Saccharomyces cerevisiae S288C: one gene and its partners. The main gene of each other region encodes a partner of the protein of the gene in region 2 in a complex. Each region holds a gene or a part of one and is shown on either strand. Other genes may lie near its edges. The genes, in order: RRP46, RRP6, RRP40 and LRP1. A codon is read from its position in the direction of its gene.

Evidence for each region.
Region 1: RRP6 (region 2) and RRP46 share a complex: the UniProt entries of both Saccharomyces cerevisiae proteins name them as parts of the RNA exosome complex.
Region 3: RRP6 (region 2) and RRP40 share a complex: the UniProt entries of both Saccharomyces cerevisiae proteins name them as parts of the RNA exosome complex.
Region 4: the proteins of RRP6 (region 2) and LRP1 are in contact, whole or in part, in a crystal structure (PDB 4WFC), measured with the Saccharomyces cerevisiae proteins. Residues at the interface, in NP_014643.1 of Saccharomyces cerevisiae: Asp7 (codon at 5,291), Val8 (codon at 5,288), Leu9 (codon at 5,285), Leu10 (codon at 5,282), Arg12 (codon at 5,276), Val13 (codon at 5,273), Ile14 (codon at 5,270), Asn15 (codon at 5,267), Val16 (codon at 5,264), Val17 (codon at 5,261), Ala19 (codon at 5,255), Ala20 (codon at 5,252), Ser21 (codon at 5,249), Ser22 (codon at 5,246), Leu23 (codon at 5,243), Ala24 (codon at 5,240), Gln26 (codon at 5,234), Tyr31 (codon at 5,219), Lys32 (codon at 5,216), Phe38 (codon at 5,198), Asp41 (codon at 5,189), Leu42 (codon at 5,186), Lys43 (codon at 5,183), Lys45 (codon at 5,177), Ala46 (codon at 5,174), Lys48 (codon at 5,168), Leu49 (codon at 5,165), Ala50 (codon at 5,162), Met52 (codon at 5,156), Ala53 (codon at 5,153); in NP_011949.1 of Saccharomyces cerevisiae: Asp3 (codon at 3,352), Ile4 (codon at 3,349), Lys6 (codon at 3,343), Ile7 (codon at 3,340), Tyr10 (codon at 3,331), Val11 (codon at 3,328), Ser13 (codon at 3,322), Phe14 (codon at 3,319), Ser15 (codon at 3,316), Ala17 (codon at 3,310), Leu18 (codon at 3,307), Glu20 (codon at 3,301), Leu21 (codon at 3,298), Lys22 (codon at 3,295), Glu24 (codon at 3,289), Ile25 (codon at 3,286), Glu26 (codon at 3,283), Leu28 (codon at 3,277), Thr29 (codon at 3,274), Lys31 (codon at 3,268), Ser32 (codon at 3,265), Leu33 (codon at 3,262), Asp34 (codon at 3,259), Leu37 (codon at 3,250), Glu43 (codon at 3,232), Arg44 (codon at 3,229), Lys46 (codon at 3,223), Leu47 (codon at 3,220), Ile50 (codon at 3,211), Asn51 (codon at 3,208).

The regions. Positions count from the first base shown.
Region 1 is NC_001139.9:672,917-680,260, reverse strand, and holds RRP46 (exosome non-catalytic core subunit RRP46), read left to right. Parts: upstream 1-3,918; coding exon 3,919-4,590; downstream 4,591-7,344. Other genes in the region: ASK10 (Ask10p), read right to left, coding at 1-1,566; thiamine transporter TPC1, read right to left, coding at 2,696-3,640; VAS1 (valine--tRNA ligase), read right to left, coding at 4,761-7,344. UniProt on the Saccharomyces cerevisiae protein: Non-catalytic component of the RNA exosome complex which has 3'->5' exoribonuclease activity and participates in a multitude of cellular RNA processing and degradation events.
Region 2 is NC_001147.6:322,970-332,140, reverse strand, and holds RRP6 (exosome nuclease subunit RRP6), read right to left. Parts: upstream 5,310-9,171; coding exon 3,108-5,309; downstream 1-3,107. Other genes in the region: putative subtilisin-like protease YSP3, read right to left, coding at 1-686; ALG6 (dolichyl-P-Glc:Man(9)GlcNAc(2)-PP-dolichol alpha-1,3-glucosyltransferase), read right to left, coding at 1,090-2,724; PHO80 (Pho80p), read right to left, coding at 6,011-6,892; IZH2 (PAQR-type receptor), read left to right, coding at 7,777-8,730; palmitoyltransferase PFA4, read left to right, coding at 9,147-9,171. UniProt on the Saccharomyces cerevisiae protein: Nuclear-specific catalytic component of the RNA exosome complex which has 3'->5' exoribonuclease activity and participates in a multitude of cellular RNA processing and degradation events.
Region 3 is NC_001147.6:53,063-56,780, forward strand, and holds RRP40 (exosome non-catalytic core subunit RRP40), read left to right. Parts: upstream 1-2,495; coding exon 2,496-3,218; downstream 3,219-3,718. Other genes in the region: NOP8 (Nop8p), read left to right, coding at 36-1,490; lumazine synthase RIB4, read right to left, coding at 1,533-2,042; tRNA methyltransferase PPM2, read left to right, coding at 3,390-3,718. UniProt on the Saccharomyces cerevisiae protein: Non-catalytic component of the RNA exosome complex which has 3'->5' exoribonuclease activity and participates in a multitude of cellular RNA processing and degradation events.
Region 4 is NC_001140.6:263,420-270,895, reverse strand, and holds LRP1 (Lrp1p), read right to left. Parts: upstream 3,359-7,476; coding exon 2,804-3,358; downstream 1-2,803. Other genes in the region: putative serine/threonine protein kinase KSP1, read left to right, coding at 1-2,437; LAM4 (Lam4p), read left to right, coding at 4,058-7,476. UniProt on the Saccharomyces cerevisiae protein: Required for exosome-dependent processing of pre-rRNA and small nucleolar RNA (snRNA) precursors. Involved in processing of 35S pre-rRNA at the A0, A1 and A2 sites. Required for activity of RRP6 in 7S pre-rRNA processing.

The DNA of each region.
Region 1 (7,344 bases), on a different chromosome or scaffold from region 2:
AGATAGGTTATAAAAATCGCTACTCTGGAATTCATGAATATAGTTTGATGTTAGAACAAAATATCCTTGGTGGTAAGTGGGCAACAATTCCGATTTCTTCAAAAAATAACCTGCCTTAATACACTTGGCCAGTGGGGATTTCATGTGGGGATAAATAACGTCGGAAACTTTTCTTGGTGGTGGTATAGGATCGTTGGATTTCCAATTGAGTAGACAGGACGGATGCTGTGTGACAAAATTATCCCATTCAAATGCAGGAGGCTTTGATATTATACCATGTTGTAGTTCTTGGCACATATTTTTGATCATTAGACGAGCTTCGGAGTCAATTAAAGCAGAATAACGCAACAAAGCATGCTGGATTTTGGTGTATATAATTTTTTCTAATTGCAAACCTGAACTCTGTAAATTGATGAACGCTTCTTGCAAGTAAGTTTCTTCGGCAACTTGACGTTTGAGTTGTAAGTCTAGTTGCAGTTTCAAAAGATATGGATCATGTTTTGGATCCAATTTATGTGGCTTCTTATTAGTAGGAGATGCTCTATCGTTGCCAATACCATGCGCGTTCATGAATTTTACAGCTGCGATGTATTTTTTCAATAGTTGACTTGTTAGCTGAATATGTGCTCCGATGTTTGTTTTGAAATCACCATGAAGGTCCTTAATTTCCGTAATTTTATATCTTAAATCTTTTCTCAATTCCTCCAATTTAGGAATGACGGTGGACGTAATCTCTTTAGAGATCTTAAATTGCTGGTTAGCCAACGAAAGATGGTACTTCTTCAAAATGACCTGGATGTCTTGAATCGAGCCTGAACCGAACTTAACAAAACCGGATGCGGCAGATGTATTGTCCGACTCTGTGGTCTGGACAGGCTTGTATTCATGAGGCGCCAAACTCATTTTACTTTCATCTGTGGGAGCCTGCACTGCATTTTCCTGCTGTTCCTGTTGCATTTGCATCTGAAATTGTTCGCTGTCAGTCAGGCCAACTTTCTTCTGCGCAGGCTGCGCTTTCTTAGGGCCTCTAGGAGCCGTTGTGAATGGATCCGTAATGGTATTTGTGGTTTCATCAATATCAGTCAAAAATGGAAATTTCACAGATCCTTTCAGTTGGTAATTGATCCGTGCGAACTGTTCTTGCGCATACGCGACTTCCCTCAAGTAAATCACTAACCCTTTCAGAATTTTTTTCCATTTATAAAACCTGTCTACAAGGATGTCGGTGGGATACTCCTTAACAAACTGCCCATCGATAGCTTCATCACCTGCAAGGGGCTTCTTCGTTTCCGTAGTAGAGGTTGGCTGAGCCTTTGGTATAGGGACGTTTATGAAGTAGGGAGATCTCTCATCTGTTTCAGGCAAAATAAACTCCTTTGCCTGATTGTTTGCCACTATGGAGGAAACACTTTCGTTCAAGGTCATCGAATCAGGTAAGATGTCCATCAAGTACTGCGAGCTCTTCGAGTGGATGGAGGAGGCGTCATCGCCGCCACCACCGCCAGATGGCTTATTGCCCATCGGCGTGAGCGTTTGCGAAGGTCTGGAACTAAAGTAATCAGACATTAGTTTGAGCCCAGTTTTGTCCTATTTCTAATGCACTCTCGTTGTGTTTGGTAGAAGAGGTGTTAAAAAACAGAAATTTTCGGTCGTTATAGTATAGATAGTTTAGTTTGTAACTACGCTGTCTTTCCTTATTCTTGTACGCTTCGCCCTAGTTCCTGTGAAAAAAGCTTTCTGTAGTAGCGTTATTTTTAGATTTCAAGATAGGAGAAGAATGGTTATTTTCGACAATGAAGATGAAGAAGGGCAGCGCTGTTTGAAGGGAAAGGGAATGCAAGACTAGGAAATATGGATTCAGCTAGCACATTTATGAGTAAGGGGAGGTGTTATTCAGTGCAAAAACTAGTGAAAAAAAAAAATAGGAAAAAAGATAAAGAGATGACAGAAAGCTAAACGCTTACAAGAAAAATGATGGATCGTAAACACGCAATCCAACAAATCGGCGGTGATGGTGATGATGAATCATCTCCGGAGGTTTGAAACTTAGAATCTGACATTTTTTCCCGCTTATTTTTGCGATTTTTTTTTTTGGTAGGATCAGGCGAGGTTGAACATCTCCCACGTTTCTCATTTCTTGGCTATTAAGGAGCCAAGAAATGAGAAAAGGCGAAAAAAAAAAAAAAAAAAGAAAAAAAAAAGTGTAAGTATGCCACATCTAAGAAGGGTGGCTACCACAAGGGTGCAGAGATTGCAGCAGTCCTTGCTTTCTTCAATTTTACTACTTCTTGTTACTCCTAGTCCGTGTGCTTGCGCAGATGTAAGTTGTGTTGAAACAACAAGCAGATGTAGTGGTCCCTGACGCTGGTTCCATCGGAAGATCCGATTCATTGTTTCCTTCTCTCCCTTCCCCGCTGACTGAGCGGAAAAAAAGATAAAAAAAAGAAGAAAAACCGGTGCGGGGCAGCAGGCAACTAAGAAAAACCGGAAAAAGGGTTGGCGTCAGATCGCTAGCAACGAGATTCCTCTTTTTTTTTCGATTTTTTGTTATTAGAGGAAGACGGCGCGACTGAGTCAGGCCGTAATCGGAATGGAAAACCGGGCGGCTACCGATCTTTGTCAGTGAAGAATATAAGATATGATGATTTCGTATATGTATATGAGTGTGTACATGTGACAAAAAAGATTGGAAACTTTAGTACATCCGCAAATAATGGATGGCAGTTTCATACCCCCAGAAACTCACAAAAGTGGTGGGTATTGTCTTGGAAAGGGCCACCAGAATACCTCTGTAAAGCGAACTCACACCTTCTTGTTTCAAAATCTGTAAACCGATTCTTGCGAATCCGTACCCTTTATAAGAACCGTATACAGACGAATGACGGGAGAACTTTTCCAGATGCTTCGAATTCATGAACTGCATTCGCCTACGGATCGTTTCGAGGGGGAAAGTAATGATCTTAGCAATGACGCCGCCAATGGTACCAGCGCTGTGATTTAAAGTAGCCAGTTCCCATTTTTTATGCGCGGCGGTCGTTTTTTCGTTTTCGTCACAGTATATCCTGATTGTTTCGTATGTTCCGAACATTATAGATGCGGTTAGAGTTATGGTTGTCATTGACGCGATGGAGCCCTTGAAAAATCCGGGGAGACCTTCTAGTTTCCAGATATCACGCACTTCTCTCGTGATGCTCATTGAGTGCATCTGGTTGTTGGCAACTAGTCGGGTCCGTAAAACATCGAACGGGTAGGAAACGATGGAACTGGTTATGCCAGCAAAGGCTCCGACAACAAGACTATGTAAGCGCGCCTCTAGTCCAAATGGAGTTAAATATCTATTAAAAAGGGAGTATGAACTAAACTGCGCTGAGCCATAGGTAACGTACAGCAAAGAACCGGGTATGTTACCCTTCCAAAAGGACCGGATGCCTTCGTTCTTTATCATGCTTCTGGCCACCTCCATGACCTGACTTCCGAAGGGCTTCAGCCCATTTGCAGGGGTCAATTGCAATCTGATCTTAATGGTATCCATGGGAGCAGTTATGCTACGGGCAAGCAGCCCGGATACGGCGCCAGCCAACAAAGTTTTCCACGCGGCCACATTTTGCCCTTTTCTTAACGAGTCCTCCTCTTTGAACATATCAACATTTATGTACTTTGAATGGTTTATATAAAGCTCCAGACTATGCCAAGTTAAAGGTGACAAAATAGCGCCTTTTCTTCATAAAGACTATTATGTACCTCTCTTTTTCTTTTTACTACTTTTTTTTTCCTTTTAAGCGCATCGGATTGTGGAAAAAAGAGTGGAAAATTTGTTAGATGAACCAGTTAAGATGCATAAAATATCTCTGCATATATGGTAATAACAAGGAGCCCAATACCAAGAATAGATTAGATTCTGCTGAAAAAAAAAAAAAAATGAGCGTCCAAGCAGAAATAGGGATATTAGATCATGTAGATGGTTCATCTGAATTCGTATCACAAGACACCAAGGTTATTTGTTCTGTAACAGGCCCTATTGAACCAAAAGCAAGACAAGAACTGCCTACACAATTAGCATTAGAAATTATTGTACGTCCCGCGAAAGGGGTGGCCACAACAAGAGAGAAGGTACTCGAAGATAAATTACGGGCAGTTCTGACCCCACTCATCACTCGTCATTGTTACCCAAGACAGCTCTGCCAGATAACTTGTCAAATTCTGGAATCTGGTGAAGATGAAGCCGAATTCTCCCTGAGAGAGCTAAGTTGTTGTATAAATGCGGCATTTTTGGCTTTAGTTGATGCAGGAATTGCCTTAAATAGTATGTGCGCAAGCATCCCTATTGCAATAATCAAAGACACTAGTGATATCATTGTCGATCCCACTGCCGAGCAATTGAAGATTTCGCTCTCTGTCCACACTTTAGCTCTGGAGTTCGTCAATGGCGGTAAAGTCGTGAAAAACGTTTTATTGTTAGACAGCAATGGTGATTTTAATGAAGATCAATTGTTCAGTTTACTGGAGCTGGGTGAGCAAAAGTGTCAAGAACTTGTCACAAATATAAGAAGAATAATACAGGACAATATATCACCTCGTCTAGTTGTATAGCCATTATAGATTATAATATACCACAACATGCTATGTCGTATGCCGGAGACTACCTCTTATATTTGGAAATAGTTATTATTCAATGTTCTAAAATTCTTAACATTTTCGTTGTTACATATACATAGCATATATATATATATATATTACATTAATTTTTATCTACCTTCAATCTACAATTTCAAACGCTTCAAGTTTTCAATAGTAGCTTCCAAACCTTCGATTTCGGCAACAGTGTTATCCAGCTTGCTTTTATTGGCTTCCTTGGCCTGTGTATTAGCCTTTGTTTCGTAATCCTTACTGTTAATGGTTTGTTCAATACCGTTCTTGGATTTTTTAGCCTTTTCAAGTTTCTTTTGAACTTTCGCAATTTCAGCATCAATATCAACGTGTCCCTTGACGAGAAGATGTACATTGACTTCTGGGTTAACAGATTGCAATACGCAACCTTCTGGAATTTCGGAAGCATCACGAACAACAGTGACTTCGTCGATGGCCTTGATCAACGAGACAATAGAATCTTTCTGATCTTCAGCAGTTTTGAAGTATTCCTCGTGGTTAGATTCAACGAAAACCTTACCATTCTTCAAAATATTGTACTCAGATAACAAGGAACGAGCTTCTTTGGTAATGTTCAAGACCAAGTCGTAAGCATTGGCCGATTTGACATCATCGTACTCAGATACGTAAACTGGATAAGAAGCTTTTACAATTGAGGCAGCCTTCTCAGTGGAACGCTTTGGAAGTCTTTGCCACATTTCTTCAGAAATGAATGGCATGAATGGATGGATTAATTTCAAAGCGTTGTCCAGCAAGATATACAATGTATCCTTTGCGGACTTCTTTTCAATAGCAGAGCCTTCTTGAATCAAGTATTTAGAGTTCTCGATGTAAACATCACAAATCAAATACCAGAATTCGTAAATACTGCTAGTGGACGTCAAGAAGTCACGTTTATCTAGAGCTTCATTGACAATTTTCGAGGTTTCAGTCAGCTTGTGCAAGATCCATTTTTCAACCAAGGATTCGTTACCTGATAGACCTTCAGTGGCAGGTGGTTGATAATCGTCACCGAGTCTCATCAATGCAAACTTGGTAGCTTGGTAGATTTTGTTACAGAACTTTCTGTAACCTTCGACACGTAAGATATCTAAGTTAATATCACGACCACCAGTGGTATAAGCACATAATGCAAACCTCATAGCATCGGTACCACATTGAGGAATACCGTTAGGGTAGGATTCCTTTTGACCGATCTTAGCTTTTTCAACTTCTCTTGGATCTAAGTTACCTTGTAATAATTTTGCATGCAAATCATCCAACTTAATACCAGTAATAACGTCTAGTGGGTCAATAACATTACCTAAAGATTTAGACATCTTACGACCTTGAGCGTCACGGACTAAAGAGTGGCAGAAAACTTCCTTGAATGGAACTGAACCGGTCAATTTTAAGCCCAATAGAATCATTCTAGTAACCCAGAAGAAAAGAATATCCCAACCAGTTTCCAACATAGAAAAGGGGTAAAAAGTTTCCATGTCTTTAGTCTTCTCTGGCCAACCCAAAGTGGAGAAAGGCCACAAACCGGACGAGAACCAGGTGTCTAAAACATCTTCATCTTGTTCCAGAGTAAATTTGGAATTAGGGTATTTGGCAGCAGCCTTCTTTTCAGCTTCCTCCATGCTCCTACCAGCAACCCAATAGTCACCATCAATTCTATCGTGTTCTTCGCCTTCGATATTAATAAAGTAAACTGGACAACGATGACCCCACCATAATTGTCTGGAAATACACCAATCTTGGATGTTACCCAACCAATGGAAATATTCAGCCTCAGAAGATTTGGGGGTGATGGTAATTTGACCATCCCTAACAACCTTAATAGCATCTTTGGCCATTTCACTTTGAGAAACCCACCATTGAGGTTTCAATAAAGGTTCAATAATGTCACCAGATCTGGAACAAGTTGGAATGGTCATTTCATTATCTTCTTGGCCAACGTATAGGTTCTTTTCCTTCAGCTGCTCAATGACCTTCTTTCTGGCATCAAACCTCTTCATGCCTTGCCACTCTGGACCACACTCCTCGTTTAATAAACCATCGTCAGTCAAAATATTGATGAATTCCAAATTGTGACGCTTACCGGTATTGTAATCGTTTTGGTCATGGGCTGGAGTGATCTTAACGGCACCAGTACCGAATTCCATGTCAACAGCTTCCTTGTCGGTGATAATTGGAATTTTTCTTGGTAAGAAAGGATGTTGGATGAACTTACCATGCAAGTGTTTGTAACGGTCATCATCAGGATGAACTGCAACGGCAGTATCACCAAATATAGTTTCAGGTCTAGTTGTAGCAATGATCAGTTTTTCATCGCTACCGATAACTGGATAAGCAAATGATGTTAAAACACCAAATTCAACCTTTTCATCATAGCCTGGGACTGATAAAAGCGTTCTACTTTTAACGTCCTTATTTTCGACTTCCAAATTAGAGATAGCGGTATTCAATTTAACAGACCAATTAACTAATCTGGACGCACGATAAATAACACCTTCATCATGTAGTCTAACAAAAGCTTCTTCAACAGACTTGGTCAATTCTGGACTCAAAGTGAAAGCTTCGCGGCTCCAATCATAAGAAGCCCCCAATTTTTGAATTTGGTTCTTAATTCTGCTATGGTATTCCTCTTTCCATTCCCAGACCTTACCAACAAAAGCTTCTCTTCCATAGTCATGTCTAGTCTTTCTGTCCTTA
Region 2 (9,171 bases):
CACTCAGCACGCCCTTCAAAGTCCTCGTGCTCGGTATCAATTCCTGTGTCGAGTACATATGATGTGACACCTTTTCCGGCGGCATCTTCATATAAATATTCCAAATCTTGTCCATATTTTGGTTTCTCCCTGTGCGAAACTCTATGTAAACCCCAAGGCGCTTCTTCCTGCAATGACGAATTAGATATTTTTACTGTAGTTTCTTGCTCTACGAACTTTATGATTGGGTCCTGGGAGATTATTTTAATGATTTCATCAGTGAAATAGCCAGTATAACCTCGAAATAGACCATTTATGTCAAAAAAATTATCAATACCTCCAAATTGAGATTTAGATGATACTGAAGAAGAAATTACCCTCCAAAAAGCGTCATTTTCTGTAAGCTTACCTACTGAGGTACTATGATCCTTCTGTACCACTTGCATATGCGATTGAATCTGCTGGAGGGAAATATCTTCATTAAAGACTATGACATACCGATAAGGAAGAAACTCTGTTTTATGAGCGACATGTTGATGTTCAGTGTGAAAATTTCCAGGATCATGCTGTCCCAAACCTTCTCCTGCTCTTACACTGCGAGTACCATCAATATTCTCAATAAAACGAACTATCCCGTCGAAATCAGGGATGATCATACAAAGACAGCAATTTGCCCAAAGTATAGGTAAGATGGTAGAGAATTTCATGTTTAAAGATATAAAGTGGTTGAACAGATTGGAAACCTGAACTTACAATATAGCAACTTGATAAGTTACGTGTTATAAGGACTCAGTCAAAAAAAACTCTTATCTAATAATATATATATGAGTGCCTGTTATCAGTAGCCGCCCTTCCGAGATTCGAGATTCGCCATTGCTCGGAAGACGCGAACGGTGGCTACTCCAGGAGAGAAAATAAGCGGAAAAGCTAACAATACTCACTGCCAAATGTAGTAGTTTTGCCTTACCATTATCTGTACCTTATTTAGATCAAATTATAGTGCATTTTTCAAATATTTTTAAGAGTTGAAATAATCTTTACTTGTAGAGCACATCTTTTATATCAGTTGCGTCTGACTGACATTGTACAGTTATATAAGTTAAAATGTAACTACAAGTCCTTCATGGATTTGCTACCGGAAGTGAATATCTTGTAATAAGACCATAGCCAAAATATGCTAAAGCAAATGAACCCAACAGCACAGTTCAACAACACCCACAAGTCTGGATATTTCGATGGAGGTGCTACAAATTGATCTAAGAAATGATAAAAGCCCATAGCAATATACGTTCCTATGATAAAACTTTTCCAAACCACATTATATGGCAGTAAGCTTCTTCTTCTATAGTCGCTATTGATGCTGCTGATAGAAGGGCCAGGAGTTAAAGATTTTGGCAAGAACCTTGGTGTAATAAAACTGAAATTTCCAATCAGCCAATTGCTTAGTAAGAAAGATACGGCATACTGTAAATGAAGACCGTCCTTTTTCAACAAAGGCCATAGCGTAAACAAAGCCACATTGTTTATCCAACTTACAAGAGATAGAACATTCCAATCAGTAGAGGAGTAGAGTAGTGTAATAGGCAAAAGTGGGATGAGGATAGTTTTCTCATGTACTTGAAAGCTAAAAAGAAAAAAGGACATCGAACATGCGATTAACACGTATGGGAGAAGATGCTTTTTGGGATGAAGTAATGTCATTATCATGGCTGGTAAGAAACCAATCACGGTGGCAATCAATGAATATAGCTGGAGTTGTTGTATAGTGAATCTTTCCTTGTATTTTACAAACACGTTCGTAACGCACCAGAAGTTAGCAACCTTGTCTTCGAAGATGCCCCTGGCAAAAGGGAATATCCTGTGAATACATTGGTGAATATTCTTTAATCCTCCTCCCAAGAAATATAATGGCGCAAATATTATAGCAAAAGTTGCGAGTGTTGCAAACGCAATAACCGTCAATCTAGCTATGTTAAATTTGGGGAACAGCAATGATCGACTTAATAGATAAGCAAAAAAAATCGGTGCATAATACAATGCCATTTGTTTAAAACAAATGGATAGGACAAAACAAACGGCCGCCATAGCATAATACTCATCTAATAAGTTATTTATGGCATAAGCAGTAAGGCCAAGCATGACTGAATTATATTGAAAGTGCCCATGGTCAATGAGCATTAATGAAGGTTGGAACAAAATCGCTGATGCCGCAATAGATTGTCCTATGGGCGACTGGTTTCGATATCTACCAAGCCACTTAGTAAAGTATATTACTGCAGGAAAGTAAAACAATATGTCGCTAATGATGACAGTAGAACGCATATATGTTTTCAGGCCATTATCGGGGGATTCAAAGCCACGTGACTTTTCTAGTGCAAACCAAGATGGATTGAAAAAAGATCCAATTAGGCCCAGAAGGTACGAATGAAATGCTGTTAATGGTGGATAGTCCAATCCCCAGTATTGCAAATCATACCAGTACCACTTAGAAAGCGGTAAATGTTGCGTAATTTCCATCCAATGTCTCTGAGCCTCAAAATCGCCGTACAGCGGTGGACTGCCTTTCCCAGAATATGGACCAAGTCCAATTGTGCACCTCAGTATTACAGCACATACAAAGATAATATATTCTGGCAGCCATTGGTTCCCCACTGGCCTAAACGGATACAAAAAATCATACATTGGAGAAGCATAAAATGATTCTTCTGCTGGTTTGTTCACCAGTAACCTTTTGCCAATGGCCATTTTCTATGCGAAGCCTGATGTGAAGAAAAGAATTCCTGACACCGTCCATTCGGAGTGCCATTGCTTTAACATGAGCAAATCCCTTTTCTAACTTGGAAGTATTGTTCTCGCTGAGTATTTAACACGCACAATATTCGAGCGAAGTATAATCCTGCAAAAATTCAACTATAGATTTCCGGATAACCTCCGACGTTGAAATTATATAAAACTTGTACTTTTCATAATAAAGGAGATGAAGGGAAACACAGAAACAAAAAAAGAGAAAATGGTGTGCATGGGGGAGCCATAACTCCATGACACAGATATTCGATTAGATGAATTTAGAGGTCTTAAATGAAAATTACCATAATTTATAAATAAAAAAATACGCTTGTTTTACATAATCACCTTTTAAATGACAGATTCTTACCTTTGGCGGCAGGCCTCCTCTTTTTAGCTGCCCTTGGTCCATTACTATCGCTAGATGATGGGTCGAATCTCCTTTTCTTTTGTTGTCTATTATTTTGGCCAGGCTTATTAGATAAGATATTCGGAATTTTTGAATAATCCACAGCATCTTTTTCCGTTACACCTTTTTCCTTTGCTGGTTGTTTCTTTTGAATGTTTTTCTTCTTTAAAACAACAAGATCATCAAGATTATCAATCTCAGGCGAGTGATTAGGTGCGCTCGCAGGGTCTACTGTCTTAATCTCCTCTAGCTTGACAGGAACAACGAGAGGTTTCTCTATTTCGAATATGATATCCTCCAAGTTTGCTAAGGCAGACTTGAAATTTTGTGCTCGGATCCTGATATCTTCCGTCTTCACTTTATTTGGCAAGCCGTCTTTGCTATATGCAATATCATGCTCCTCACGTGGTAAAATCTTACCCAACAGAATAGAAGAATTAGTGACAGGCTTGGCTCGGCTCTTGGAAATATTGCTGTTGCACAACACCGAAAACCTTTCCATAACATCACGGATTTGAGGAACACTTATAGTCTCCAACAATATTCCGTCTGCTTTGGTCTCGGAAGATGGAATGGGAGTAGCTTCCTCATTGGTGTTCTTGATGTTTCGTAATGCATCTCTTATCAAATTAGCTAATAGTTTTGCATTCTGGCGGACATGTTCAGTTACGCCATTGGTCAAAGAAACAACACCTATGACATCAGTAGGTGTATATGCGACAAGTGCAGCCAATAACTGGTTTGGCATAACAAATCGTGGCGATTCATCGTCTCTTCTTGCAATAAGATCTCTCCATTGGTATAGCTCTCTTACTAATACTTCCCTCTCAGGTGGTATGTTGTACTGATACATCAATATTTTCCAAGGACTCTCTTTTTCGATTGGAGAATAAACTTCTGAAGAAGGTGTCAGTGGTCTGTACTTTGAATATTCAAACCTTCTTTTTGCGACATTTCTTGATTCATAAAGAACACCTGCTAACTTATTAGACTCGATAAGTTTGTTTCTCAACTGGTCATATATATTTAGTAAAAAGTGAGTATCTGCTCTAGCATATGCCGTCATGGGTTTTGAAAGCGGTCTTATACGCCAGTCAGCCAACTGATATTTCTTTGAAGTTTTAAAATTGGCAAAATTCTCCAAAAGATAGGCCAAACTATGTCTAGGAAGACCGATTGCTTTAGACGCATGGTAAGTATCGAAGAGACCAACGACATACAAACCTAAATCTCGCTGAAGCCAAATAATATCCATGAATGCACCGTGAAAAACTTTCACAATTGAAGGGTTCGTAAACACTTCGTTCAGAATATGTAAATTTTCGCGAAGTTTTAGAGTATCAACTAAATAATCCCTTTCCCTTGTACTAATTTGCATGAGGCAAACAATACCATAGTATGACCTATAATCGTGATGCTCAAGATCAACGGCAATCTCTTTCGTATTTTTCAAGTCCTCCAACATTGATTCGAGTTCTGTACTTGTATCTACCCAAATTGGTACCGAATCATCCCAGGATTTTGAGGGAATCTCCTCTCTAATTTGGAGAATTTCTGGACTATACTCTTGATGATCAATCTCATATTCATAAGGATGGGGGTAGTGACTGGGGTTATTTTCATCATCATCAACCAACCTCAAACTCTCAGAGAGTGGCTTCAAAGCATTTGGTTTTTCCTTCAATAAAGGTATGAACGGATGACTTTCGCTGTTATCAATTGGACTTTTAAATTTCAACTGAGGTTTTTCGACTCTTTTGGTGGGAGAAAAATTCTTTCCTGAAAATTCGCCTAAATACTGAAGATCGGAACCTCTTGACTTTGAGTTTATTGCACAATTCAGCTTATCCAGCGAATGGTCTGACATTTCTAACAAATTATCCATGATGTTTCCAAAGTTGTTCCACAAGTCAGAAATGTCCTCTTCTTTAAGTTCAAATGATTCATGATGCTCATCAATAGAGAGGATTATTTCATTCGCCATATCCGCAAGTTTGTCTGCTTTTGATTTCAGATCTTTACTAAATCCCCTGTCTAAATTCTTGTAAAAGTCTACATCTTGACTGGCTAACGATGATGCTGCTCTCACCACATTTATCACCCTAGATAAAAGTACATCCGGATTTTCAGAAGTCATAACGCACTTATTGGGTGCTTATAAGCTGTTTGTTGTTCCTATTTCGTCTATCTTCAGATGAACATTAATATTCATTACTGAAAAATTTTCCGATGCCCTCATATTTTTGGGTAAAATATTATTAATAATATCACGTGAACTTATTTTGCATTTAAAAAAAAGTAAAAACTATTTGCTAAAATATATTTTTTTAATTTTTAAAAATAATGTTTTAATTATTTAATGTATATGACTTCCGAAAAATATATATTTGATAACAAAAATTATTATATGCGATATTGAAATTTCATTGTTCAGTATTTTTCCACTAAAACATGTGAAAGTAATTTTCATTATTGAACATGAAATGGTTCTGTCAAGGAAGTTTTGAAACTAGTATCTGAAAAGAACAGTGATGATATGAATCTACATGTATTTATCAAGTTAATTGAAATGGAGTTCTCAAGCTCATCTCGAAGTGTTTTCTGTCGCTTATGCTCTTATGATGCAAAAAGGCTGAAATAGAACATATCCTTCTTTAGCAAAAGAGGGAAGTTATTCTCTTATATACTACCTGAAATCTTGAACTTTTTAGCCAAATGATGGCCAATTGCTTATTATACACACACAGATATATATATATATATATATATATATGTACAAATGGAAAGTTTTAATTTTGCTCAATCATGATTGCTTTCATAATACCCCACGAAAAATCATTAATCTGGCTTTGATCGCTTGTTATAGATATGTGCGTCCTTTGCCTCAGAATATCGCTTTTGTGAAGAGTGAGAATTGGGTGATGACGACCCCTTTAGTTGAGTAGTTTGGGAGCCACTTTCACTCACTATATCAATATTTGGCGGGAGAACATAATCAACCTTTCTACTCTTATCAGGTGAAGCGTTAAAGGAACCCACCAGCTGAACTATTCTTCGATAGTATTTATCTAGAACATTATATCCACTTTTTGGACGATTAACGTAAGAATAAGAATCCAAATCGAGAGACCCTAATGCGTTTTTATCTATGACAAACTTTTTCTGTTTTTGCTCTATACTACATAACGTAATGTTATGATCCCGCGGAATGATTCTGTAGTTTACTCTCTTTAAAAAATCGTTCTCCAGTATATTCAATTCGTGACATCGTACTCCTCCAACTTTTGCATAATGGGCGTTTGTTGAGAACGAATCACATAAGCCTTTTGTTGCGACTGTGGTGGCTGTTAATAAAAACCTATGGGCAGTCAACGAATTAAGCGTAAAATCAGGATACACAGTTTGCAATAAATCGATATAATAGAGTGATGTCATAAGCACACAATGTTCTAAAGAGGAAAACTTTGTCAGTCGTATGAAATAGTTGAAGATTGATATGTTTGGAGGAATCTTAGAATGGTATCGTGTTAAAGTAATTTGGTCATCAGATTTCTTTGTTGCTGAATTTTCATTGATTGCTATCAGCGATACTAACATTCGTGATATGAGCACCACTAGGTCAGTTCTAGAGCATTTATTAAAATCAGCGGGCAGAATTACTTTTGGTATCCCTTGATCCTCATGTATATTTTCGGAACGTTCTCCTGATGTGCTTTCCATGATTTCTATGAGTCTCCAAAGGATATCCTCGTCTTATGATAGCTTGCAGACTTAAATTTGATAAACACTTATAAAAAGAAAGGTTATCTGCCTCTCGAAGTATATAACTGATCACTGGAACGCTATTGGAAACAATACGGATGATAAAATTGGAATATAAATAATCTTAAGAAGAAAAAAAAAACAGGTAGGAGCTATAATCGGCTAAAGAGAAAAGAAGAAAAGTTGCAGTGTATACGGATGAGCACTTTCAAAGTAATATGGCTATTTATGATGGCTTGGGGCATTAGATTAAAGGAAAGCCAATATACGCTGAATAACTTTCTGAAGTTTGAATCCTTTATTCATCAAATGAAGAAGAGATCCTAGGATGAGTATGGAGACTGATTGTTTGTTAAAATCTTATAACCCGTATGTGTTTCCAAGGTGGTTTACAGAAGCCTCAGGCTCTCACCTACGGGTTAAAATCTGACTATGGTACAAGCACGTTCGCCTCATTCATATTTTCCATAGAAAGCGGACTCAAATTTTGAAACCGCATTTTAGAAAGAAAAACTCGATAGCATGTTAAATATTTTAAAGAATACCATAATTCGTTAAAAATACAAAAGTGTACTGATATCGTACTTCCTCTAGGGTAGCACTACCTTGTTTAGGCCAGAAATTAAGTAACAAACTTTTCTTGTTTGCTTCGAGTATACTAAAAAACAGACACTCGGGGTTAATAGGCGGTCTTCCGTTGTTGAGCTCTTTTTTTTTTAGAAATCCAACATCTCTTCGAATAGTAGATTAGAAATAGTATTTATGTCAGCGTTCCTTGAGCCAAATGTACTAAATTTCCCGTCGTTTTAATTATGCTGCATGTTGGAGAAGAATCATTCCAAATGTCAACTTTATTAGAAAGGACTAAGAGTGTGCAAGAGCTGAAGAAGAGAGCTGCAGGGAAAACATCCGCAAATCCCGCAGAGGTCGCTAAAGCTAAAAAAGTACTAAGAAGGCTATATAGTTGGGATGAAATTCCGGAATGGCAAAGAGACAATGATTTTATTTTACATGGATACGTGAAAGAAACTAGTAGCTTCATTGAAACTTTTAAAAGTTTGTTTTATTTGCATAATGAAAGTGTCAATATTTATTCACATTTAATTCCTGCTCTCGGGTTCTTCACTGTACTGTTGCTAGATAAATCTACTATCAAAGTGTTTGCAACAACTACATGGCTAGATCATATGGTAATCGACCTCTTTTATTCGGGGGCGTTTGCATGTTTAATATTGAGTAGCTCCTTTCATTGTCTAAAGAGTCACTCCTTAAGAATTGCTACCTTAGGAAATAAGTTGGACTACCTTGGTATTTGTATATTGATTGTTACGTCAATGGTCAGTATTTTGTACTACGGCTATTTTGAGAAATTTTCCCTATTTTGCCTATTTGCGCTTATTACCGTTAGCTTTGGGATCGCGTGTAGTATTGTGTCACTAAAAGATAAGTTTCGGAAAAGAGAGTGGAGACCTTACAGAGCTGGGCTATTTGTTTGTTTTGGTTTATCCTCAATTATTCCAATATTCAGCGGCCTTTACTGCTATAGTTTTTCAGAAATTTGGACCCAAATTCAGCTCTTTTGGGTATTACTTGGGGGTGTCCTATATATAATTGGCGCTGTTCTTTATGGAATGCGGTTTCCTGAAAAGATTTGCCCCGGTAAATTTGATATTTGGGGTCATTCTCACCAACTTTTCCATTTTCTAGTTGTTATTGCGGCATTGTGCCACTTGAGAGGTTTATTAAATAGTTATGAGTTAGTCCATATAAAGATGGAGAACGGGATTGTCTCCTAGATATTTGGAAAAAACGTAGGATTTATATAGAAAGTAGTTTTAAAGTTAAAATAATAAAATGGTTCTTATATGTGAGAAGAGAATAAAGAAAAAGGCCCTTACAATAATATGTTCAAATATAGAAAAGAAATTCCCAGATAGAAGGGAAGCAGGATTTGTGCACTTTCTCATATGAAATATACACGACTTTAGCGTCTCAGAGGAACATTTTTCTTACTAAGAGCTCTCAATTTAAAATACGGCTTATTTCCACTATTTATTGGCTGTCTCATGTATATTTTTATTATCCTGTTAAACCTACCTCTCTTACTACGCGCTTATGAAAAATAGCGGATCTGAGATACGATAATTATCGTCCCTACATTGTGGTGATGGTGTATAACATGAATTTTAAAAACTGAGTTGATCGTTAAACCATGCCAGTAAAGTTAAGGTGGCCTT
Region 3 (3,718 bases), 270 kb from region 2:
TTGTACCTGAAGTGAGAACTAGGTAATATACGACGATGGATAGTGTAATTCAAAAAAGAATTTTTGTCGGAAATATTTTCCATAATGCAGATGATTGTTATTCAGAACTACTAGATCGATTTGGAAAATTTGGTGATTGCCAAGATTTTCAGTTTGAAAAACACAACCACTTTGCATTTATCGATATAAGGTTTAATGATGAGGCAGATTTTAACAAGCTAAGAAAGAGCTTTAATAATGTTAAGTTTAAAGGGAACATTTTGAAGGTTGATGAAGCAAAGCCGAATTGGGAAAGCACCTGGGCGGTACAACATGCAAAGGACCTTAAAGAAGATATTATACTAAATGCTAAAATGAAAAAAAAGAATTGGCAACATTATAAGAAAATGGAAAATGTAGCGAAAAGTTGGAAAGATCATAAGGAAGTTATTGCTGGCAGAATGAGGGAGGCGCCGAGAAAAAGGAGTCAATTGAGGAACATTACATTCAGGATCAATGTCAATGGTTCATTGAAAGTTTACAAATGCTATAAGACTAAATTATGGGGTTATGAAAGGAACAAAGAATTGAATGACCTTGTGTACAAGTTTACAAATAATTTCTGGAAAAACGGATACAACCACATTGTCGATAGATTGGATTACAGTCGTGCTGTTAAAACTGTTCGATTCAAAAATGGGCTGAAACAGTTAACAGTGTCAAAAGATGAAAACGTTTGCAGTGGAGAGATGGACAGCGATGAGAATATGTCAGAAGAGGAGAAGGAGAAAAATAATGTTATTCTTAATGACCTATTAAAGGACTTTGACTTCGATAAGCCAATGACGTTGAATGATTCGGACGAGGAACTTCTGACAGAGCAACGTAAAGGAGAGGAAGAAGAAGAAGAAGAAGAAGAAAAAGAAGTAAACGCTCCCGAATACGAGAATGTTAATAAGACGAAGGACCAGAGCACCCTACCACAAGAAAAACCAGAGGAAAGGAAAGAACAGGACGAGGGCGACGGGCAGGAGGATAATGAATTTATTCCGACTTTCACCAAGGAAATTGGTCAAGGTACAATAAGCAACACTGAGACGTTAAGAAACCTATTCAACCCCAACGAGGCAGAACCTGTATCACAATTCAAATTGATTGAAGATTCTGATAATGATATTGATCATGCGAAAGATGTTGATGTGAACCAACTGGAGGAAGAAGTAAGTAAATCATCTGACACCCTAGGTTTGACATCGGCTCCCGTACCACATGTATCTAGAGATAAAGATAACAAAAATTTCTTGTTTTTCCCTCATTTGCAATCGCCATTTTTAGTAGGACAAACACAGTTGAGTAAAGTAAGGGCTCCTGGAAGAGAAACAATGCTATCGAACTGGGATGAGGAGTTCTGGGCTAACAGAGGTAATTGGACCCGTGATATGAGGCGCAAAATGAAAGATGCATTGAAGCACCGTAAGAGGAAACAATCAAAGAGCGGGCTTCTTCTATAGTGAGTATATATACATATATAGTATAGATTTCTCTGCGCTTATTCAAAAAGCATTTTTACCGAACTTAACAGCCATTTCCACTGCTGCAGCACCCCAATCTTCACCATGGTTGTGCATGGAGTGCGCTTCATCGATGCCAGCTCTGGCCAGGGCTTGTTCTTCAGTCATGCAAGTTAAGAGGCCAAAAATGACGGGCATGTCGACTTTTTCTTGTAAGTTCATCAATGCGTGAGTGGTGGAATCTGAAATGTATTCAAAGTGCATTGTACTACCTTTGATAAGTACACCAATAGGAATTACAACATCTAGCGGCTTTCCCAACTTCGCTTGTCTGTCAACAAACCTTTTTGTCCCCCAAGGTAATTCATAGGATCCAGGAACAGTTTCAATTATTATGTTATTTTCCTCGACACCAAGGGAAGCCATTCTTTCAATAGCACCTTTCACAAGAGCGTCAATAATGACACGGTTCCAACGGGCATGAATGATACCGACCCTGATTTTGGAACCGTCATAAACTTGATCTGGTTTGCCTAATCCTTTAACTGCCATACTGCGTTATACTGCGTTATACTGCGTTATACTGCGTTATACTGTTCCTTTTCATGCTTTTGAACCCACTCTCTGGGGCAATATTTCATTGTTCTCTTTTATATGGCTACTTTTCTCTTATTAACGGGGACCTCCGAAAATATCTCCGCTCCCAGAATATGTCATAGAGCCTTAAGAATTGACCTACGGGAACCTCCGAAAACCTCCCAGAGTTTTAATTATACGTCATAGAACCCCAGACCTCTTCGATGAAGTTTCGTGGAAACTAGTTCCATCCACCTCACTTAAAGTTACCTTAATGAAAGCCATCATTGTTTACTAGTAAGGGTAGTGGTGTGACCCGGACCTGATCGGCTGAAATTTTTTGGTTTAGAGAAGCATATTAAACCAACAGCACAAACGGATGCTTCAGCAGCTCATCTCCAGCATTTCGACTAACCAAGAGCATACAAGATGTCTACGTTCATATTCCCTGGTGATAGCTTTCCTGTAGACCCTACTACACCTGTTAAACTGGGCCCTGGCATATATTGTGACCCCAATACTCAAGAAATACGACCTGTTAATACAGGTGTTTTGCATGTTTCCGCTAAGGGTAAGAGTGGTGTTCAGACCGCATATATAGACTATTCTAGTAAGAGATACATTCCATCTGTAAACGATTTTGTAATCGGTGTCATTATAGGGACATTTTCAGATAGCTATAAGGTTTCGTTGCAAAATTTCTCCTCCAGTGTTTCACTATCGTATATGGCTTTTCCCAATGCTTCAAAGAAAAACAGGCCAACTTTGCAAGTGGGAGATCTAGTGTATGCGAGAGTTTGTACCGCAGAAAAGGAACTAGAAGCCGAAATAGAATGTTTTGACTCAACTACAGGACGCGATGCTGGTTTCGGGATATTGGAAGATGGTATGATCATTGACGTGAATTTGAATTTCGCACGCCAGTTGCTTTTCAATAATGACTTCCCGTTATTAAAAGTGTTGGCTGCACATACCAAGTTTGAAGTCGCCATTGGTCTCAATGGGAAGATCTGGGTTAAGTGCGAGGAATTATCTAACACTTTAGCTTGTTATAGAACCATAATGGAGTGTTGTCAAAAAAACGACACGGCAGCGTTCAAGGATATAGCAAAAAGACAGTTTAAAGAAATACTTACGGTCAAGGAGGAGTAGACTACCATGTATAATTAAAATATATAAACACATAGATATCATCAATATTTCACGTCCTTTTTTAATGTCCTTTGAAAAAGCGAAGGAAAAAAAGTTTCATCTCATCTCATCTCATCACATCTAACATATGGCCATAAAATTTCGACAACTATAGTGCACATATCTAATACGATGAAGAATCTGACCACTATAAAGCAAACGAACAAGAATGTCAAACAAGAAAGACGTAAAAAGTACGCTGATTTGGCGATTCAAGGCACAAATAACTCCTCAATTGCTTCTAAAAGATCGGTAGAGTTATTGTATTTGCCAAAACTGAGTTCGGCTAATAATTTCCAAATGGATAAGAATAATAAACTGTTGGAATATTTTAAATTCTTTGTTCCTAAGAAAATTAAAAGATCTCCCTGTATTAACAGAGGTTATTGGTTGAGGTTATTTGCCATCAGGTCAAGATTGAACTCCATCATTGAACAAACGCCACAGGATAAAAAGATAGT
Region 4 (7,476 bases), on a different chromosome or scaffold from region 2:
TGATTGGACAATTAAGCTTACAGATTGGGGATTGGCTACTACAGATAAGACGTCTATGGATAGAAATGTCGGTAGTGAAAGATATATGTCCCCTGAACTTTTTGATAGTAATTTGGATATCAAGGAAAGAAAGGAACCTTATGACTGTGCCAAAGTGGATTTATGGGCTATGGGAATTGTGTTTCTTAATATTGTTTTCCATAAGAATCCTTTTAGTATTGCCAATCAATCCGACAAGTCATTCTGTTATTTTGCTGCTAATAGAGAAGCGTTGTTTGATGTATTTTCGACAATGGCTTATGATTTCTTTCAAGTATTAAGGTATAGTTTAACCATCGATCCGGCTAATAGAGACTTGAAAATGATGAGAACTGAACTACAGAACTTATCTGAGTATACATTAGACGATGAATACTATAATAACTTGGATGAAGGATATGAAGAAACTATGATTGACGGTTTGCCACCTCAGCCTGTTCCTCCATCTTCAGCACCGGTATCATTACCTACTCCTATTTCATCTAGTAACAAACAACATATGCCTGAATTTAAAAAGGATTTCAATTTCAATAATGTGAATGAAAGGAAACGGTCAGATGTCTCTCAAAATCAAAATGTTGCAAGCGGCTTCTTTAAAAAACCGTCTACACAACAACAGAAATTTTTCAACCAGGGTTATAATACAACACTATCTACTCATGAAAGGGCTAAATCTGCTCCTAAGTTCAAATTTAAGAAGCGCAATAAGTACGGAAGAACTGATAATCAATTTTCCAAACCAGTCAATATCGAAGATAGAAAGAAAAGTAAAATTTTGAAAAAATCAAGGAAGCCTCTTGGCATACCAACGCCTAATACACACATGAATAATTTTTTCCACGATTACAAAGCAAGGGATGAATTCAACACCAGAGATTTTTTCACTCCTCCAAGTGTCCAGCACAGGTATATGGAGGGGTTTTCCAACAACAACAATAAACAGTACAGACAGAATCGTAATTACAACAATAATAACAACAACAGCAATAACAATCATGGAAGTAATTATAATAATTTTAACAATGGTAATAGCTATATAAAGGGTTGGAACAAAAACTTTAACAAATACAGAAGACCAAGTTCCTCCAGTTATACCGGTAAGTCACCACTTTCAAGGTACAACATGAGCTATAATCATAACAACAATAGTTCTATAAATGGTTATGCAAGGCGTGGTTCTACGACTACAGTTCAACATTCACCAGGCGCTTATATTCCACCAAATGCCAGGAACCATCACGTAAGCCCAACGAATCAGTTTTTAAGAGTTCCGCAATCAACTGCTCCTGATATCTCTACCGTTTTAGGTGGGAAGCCTTCATACCAGGAACACTACACTCAGGATAGTATGGATTCTGAGGGCGATCACGATTCAGACGACGTTTTATTCACTCTTGAAGAAGGTGATCATGATTTCGTCAATGGTATGGACAACTTATCTATAAATGATCACTTACCGCATACAACGGTAGGTAGCCATAATGAAGTATTTGTTCACGCAAGCACTAATCACAATAACAATGGCAACAACAACCATATCGACACCAATAGTACCACTAATCAATATCATAGACAATATATTCCACCTCCTTTGACAACATCATTGCATATCAACAATAACAATAATGAATCTAATGAACTACCAGATTTACTAAAATCACCAGCATCATCTGAAGCACATTTAAATTTATCTTCTGGACCAATTGATCCAATTTTAACAGGTAATATTGGCAATCGATATTCACACTCATCTGACTCTAAGGAGCTAGAGCAGGAGCGTAGACTCAGTATGGAACAAAAATTTAAAAATGGGGTTTATGTTCCACCTCATCATAGGAAGAGTTTCAACTTGGGAACACAGGTACCTCCTATGAATATGAAGACAAGTAACGAGGCCACGTTGTCAGTTTCGCATAATTCTGTTAATTTTGGTGGATCTTACAATTCCAGGCGTTCCAGTGCTAATGAATCTAACCCACTGCATATGAATAAAGCACTCGAGAAGTTGTCCTCTTCACCAGGAGCTAAAAGCTCCTTCGTTGGCTTCCCTAAACCTTTATTACCTCGTAATCATTCAAGCACTACGATTGCGTTGCAAAATGAAGACGTATTCGCAGACTCTAACAATGACGCCATAATTTTCGAAGACGAAGAATACGAAGGAGAAAGTGACAAGATGGCACATGGCAAAATGGAAGGTGGTGACAACGAATCCTCGTCAACCTCCCCGGATGAAAGGCAAATTTTCGGTCCTTATGAAATTTATGCTCAAACTTTCGCTGGCTCCACTCACGATAAAAAATTAGGAGCTGGCAGGAAGACAAGTATTCAGGATGAAATGGTCGGATCGTTAGAACAATACAAGAATAATTGGTTAATTTTACAGCAACAAGACTAAGCGCACCTATTCCCTCTGTTATGTTGCTTATTATTTTCTTCCCTTCTGAAATGCATTTTTAGCTTTTTTCATCAATTTGGCATCATCGTGCATTTCAACTTCTAAGTATGAATGCTTTTTGGTAGTTAAGCTTGAAGGGTTTTATGAAAACTCTCTTTTCTTAGATATTTCTACAGTCTTATATAACGTCAATTCACACAAAAGTGTTCACTGCCAACTACAAGAATAGCATATACACATATTAGTTACTTCAACGAGTTCTTATTGTTATTATAAAAGTATATAAACCCTATAAGCATTTTTGCATTTGTGCTCTCACATCACCTTTAATCATTTTTTCACTCATGTACCAGTATACGTCGACCTCTACTTCTTCCCTCCTTTCTTTTTTCCAACTTTATCCAATCTTTTACTTTTCTTACTACTTGCTTTCCTTATATGATCGGTACTGTCAATAATCTTAGTCGTTGTACTCTCTGCCAGTTCATCGTTTTCAAATTTCGTATGCTTCCCTTGAAAGTTGCTCCTGCTTATAGAGGGCTCGAATTGGTTTTTATTACCGTCCAAAACATTGGAAATGATATTCTTAGCTTTTTCTTGCTCTGCCTGCGATTTTTCGTTGGATTTGGTTATCCTATTATCGTATTGTTTAGCCTTATCCATGTATGATTTTACTCTTTTCAGTTCGCCGAGTATAGGAGACATATCTTTGACGCCTAGGACTTTCATATTAGCAAACATCAGAGAACTCAATACATACGCGTAACGATTAATTAGTTCTAATTTAGCCCTCTCATCAGATAATAGCAACAGCTGTTCATCCAGTGACTTCGACGTTAGTTTCTCTATTTCTGGTTTCAGCTCGTCTAACGCCTTTGAAAAACTCCTAACGTATGGTTTTATCTTTTCGATATCTTCCATTACTGATCTAATACTCCGTTACGTTGCTAGATATATGTTTATATTAATCGATTTCTACTGTAGGCTGTTAACCAGTTTTTTCTTCCACAGACTACAGAAGGCACAGTCCATAACCATCTGCCTTAGCTCATCGCTGAAAAACTGCACGAGAATTCGTGAAACGTGACATGTTGGGTACCCGCATGAATAGAAAATATGCTAGTAACGACTCTTCTTTACATTCCCATTGCTGGTGTATGTACGCTGATATGAAAATGCTTGCCCAATAAATACCAAGGTTATGACGTTGCCGCTTTGTATTGTCTTCTAATCTAAAAATCTTTCCACGCCAGTAGTGGCTGGCTTTATGCGGCAAAGATCGCTGTTTCTCCTTTTAGAAGTAAATTTCCACGGAGTATGACGGCCGGACGGACCGGCGTAGTTCATTCTAGTCTTAGGGGTCCTTTACCTTGGCAAAAGCATTTCTAAGTGAAACCCTTGCAGGAGTAGAATTGGGCGCAAAGGTCCCTCGTTGGGATCTGTCCTCCTGGGGGACGGTAGGTGGTTGAATGATTCTGCCTTCTTGAAATACGAAATATCAATCTGTTTCTGCTGGCTCACGGTATCTACTGTAATTTCGTTGCTATTGCCATTGATATTAAATTATTGCTACTGTGTGTGGTTCTTACTCTCCATGGATAGTGTTGAAAATATACAGTAATGACTAGAGATTCAAAAAAGAAGCACCATTGGGGCACTGCCTTTTTAAGGACAATTGGAGTCAAACGTAAGCACAAGAAGGATCGTAATTTTTTAAATAATACTACAGGAGAGAATGTTAGCACAACAGCCAGTGCTGAGCGATTCAGAAGAGTAGGAGGAAATCCGGATATTCCGTCTTTACTTAAGCCCGAAACTTTCACGGAATCTCCTGCAAAAGGATCTCAAAAGGCGGCGGCATCTTCCTTAGCGCATAGCCAAGGTGTATTCAATATTCCAATCGTTATAGATCCCATGGAAACAAACAGGCTTGAAAAGACAAACACGAATTTGACGGCAGGTTCATTGAAGGGTCGCTTTCAGGATGGTAACTCGAATTCAAATTCTGTACCAAGTTTATCCGTCCAGGCATTAGAAAAGGAAAAACTGCAAAGTGGGAAACGAGAAGGGTCCAGCAATCAAGCTGAGGAAAAAACTCCAGACGGCCATGATGAACATACCGCCTTTGAAACGTTTCTTTCCTTCGCCCATAATGCCGTAAGCCACATTCCCAAAATAAACGTACAAGACGCTGACAATGGAACAATTTCCAGGAATGAACCAAAGGACAGGAAAAAAAACTCATCTAATATATCAGGAGCCCTTTCCGAAAATAGCACTAACAATAAAAACACTTCATCGACAAAAGAAAGCGATGGCCCATTTTTGAAAAATTTAGACAATATTCTTGCAGCATCCAAATCATCAACTCCAAGTAACCAACAGCTTAATACAACGGAAGCAGGAAGTAAAAGTAAACCATCATCATTATCTAGATTGGCATTTGGAAATTTGAAAGGCCATATTCACTCGAACTCACATTCAAGCTCTAATGCTATCTCAGGAGATGATACATCATTAGATGACACTAGAAAGATGACGGATGATATGGCCAGGAAAGTGGTTTTCGAACCCATCAGGCACTCTCATGATAAGCCTACCCCCGGAGTTGGAAACTTAAAATTAGAGCACTTCGATGATTCTCAAGCTACTCTTGAAGGGTTAGAGGCAATGTCAGCAGAATCGCTGCCAGAGGCGGATCACCTTGACAGCAGAGGCCCGGTACAACAAAGTAATTTGGAAAGAAAAACTGTTCCTTCCAAATGGTCAGTAGTCAGTTCCTCTACAACAGATGGAGTCAAGCCTAGAAGAAGAGCCAAATCAATGATTAGCGCAATGGCAGATAAACAAAACACCAGTAGCGACGTTTTACAAGATTGTAAAAAAAGATTGTCCTTCAACTCCTCTAATGGCCTAACGAATAACGACCCGGAGTATGAAGACCGCGAACCTAGGGAAATGTCCAAGAAGTTTCTTAACAGGAGGTCATTTTCCCCCGGAAGCATTAGCATGGGAATGAAAGTACTACCTTCGACGGCACTGAAATATTCGCTAAACAAAGTAAAAAACAGCACTGATATTGCATCGACCATCATACCGAGACCTAGTATGTCCAACGGTCGTCCATCTTCGGGATTGAGGAGAAGTTCTAGTAAAAGCTTTTCATCTACCCCCGTAAATATCATTGAGCCATCGGAGGAAAATGGTAGACAATCCAGCATTAGAATAAAGGGAGTCGAATACGCGAGCGAAAAGAAAGATGCAGAATTCCATGCAATATTCAAGGACTCTGGTGTCAGCCCCAATGAAAGGTTGATTTTAGACCATAGTTGTGCTTTGTCAAGAGATATCCTTTTGCAAGGCAGAATGTATATTTCTGATCAACATATTGGATTTTATTCGAACATCCTTGGTTGGGTAAGTACCGTTTTTATACCGTTCAAGACAATCGTTCAAATAGAGAAAAGGGCCACAGCAGGAATATTCCCTAATGGGATCGTTATAGACACTTTACACACAAAATACACGTTTGCCTCTTTCACTTCAAGAGATGCTACATATGATTTAATTACTGAAGTATGGAATCAAATAATTTTGGGAAAGAGGTTTCGTAGCAACAGTAATAACACTAATAGCAGCTCCAATTCTATCAGTGATGATGAAAATGACGATTACGATGATGATTACGATGATTATGGAGATGATGATGACGATCTTTACGATAATAGCAATAACATATCTGATTCTACCGACATGACATCAAGCGTCAGCATAGGAAAGCCGGAAGATTTACCCATGCCTCTACAAACAGACACCCCTTATGGAACAGGAATTCCACCACTAGGTCCAAAAATTCACTCACCCACAGAAACAGTATACAAACCAGCGCCCAATGAAAAATTAGTTAACGAATCAACAATACACGCTTCGTTAGGGCGGGTTGTCAATATATTATTCGGGAAAGATGTCAGTTATATTATGGCCATTTTAAAAGCGCAAAAGAATAGTGATATTTCGCCAATCCCTGTTCTCGTTGATTCACCCACGGTTTCTGAAGGTAAAAAGAGAGATTATTCCTACGTAAAAACAACACCAGGTGCCATTGGACCCGGTAAAACTAAATGCATGATAACTGAAACCATTCAACACTTTAACTTAGAGGAGTATGTTCAAGTCTTGCAAACAACAAAAACTCCGGATGTTCCTTCTGGAAATTCATTTTATGTGAGAACAGTTTATCTTTTATCATGGGCAAACAACAATGAAACAAAACTAAAACTGTATGTCTCTGTTGAATGGACAGGTAAAAGCTTGATCAAAAGTCCTATTGAAAAGGGTACATTTGATGGTGTAACGGATGCAACAAAGATATTGGTGGAGGAGCTTGGTAATATTTTAACAAGATCTGCTACCAAAAGGAAAAGGTCTTCGAAGGAGAACACTGTTACAGTATCAACTTTACCGAAAATGGAACCTAGCTCACATGCACCTACCGAGCCTGATATTCAAAAGGATAAGGATGACTCTATTATAAGGGAAAATGAGAATATACCAGCTCCATTAGGGACCGTGGTCCAATTGCTATTTGGATCGAATACAGAGTATATGCAGAAAGTTATCACTAGAGATAAGAATAATGTCAATGTGGAAACGATACCAAAATTCACGCCTTCGTTGGTTGAAGGAGGTTCAAGACACTATGAGTACACGAAGAAATTGAACAATTCTATCGGACCTAAGCAAACAAAATGTTTACTAACCGAGTCTATTGAACACATGGATATCAATAACTATGTTTTGGTGACACAAACAACTAAAACTCCAGACGTCCCCTCTGGTAGCAATTTTGCAGTAGAAAGTAAAATCTTTCTATTCTGGGGGCAGCATGACACCACGAATATGACCGTTATAACAAAAATCAACTGGACAAGTAAATCATTTTTGAAAGGTGCAATTGAGAAAGGATCTGTTGAGGGTCAGAAGGTTTCTGTCGATTACATGCTATCCGAGTTAAGAGACATTATTAGCAGGGCAAAAAG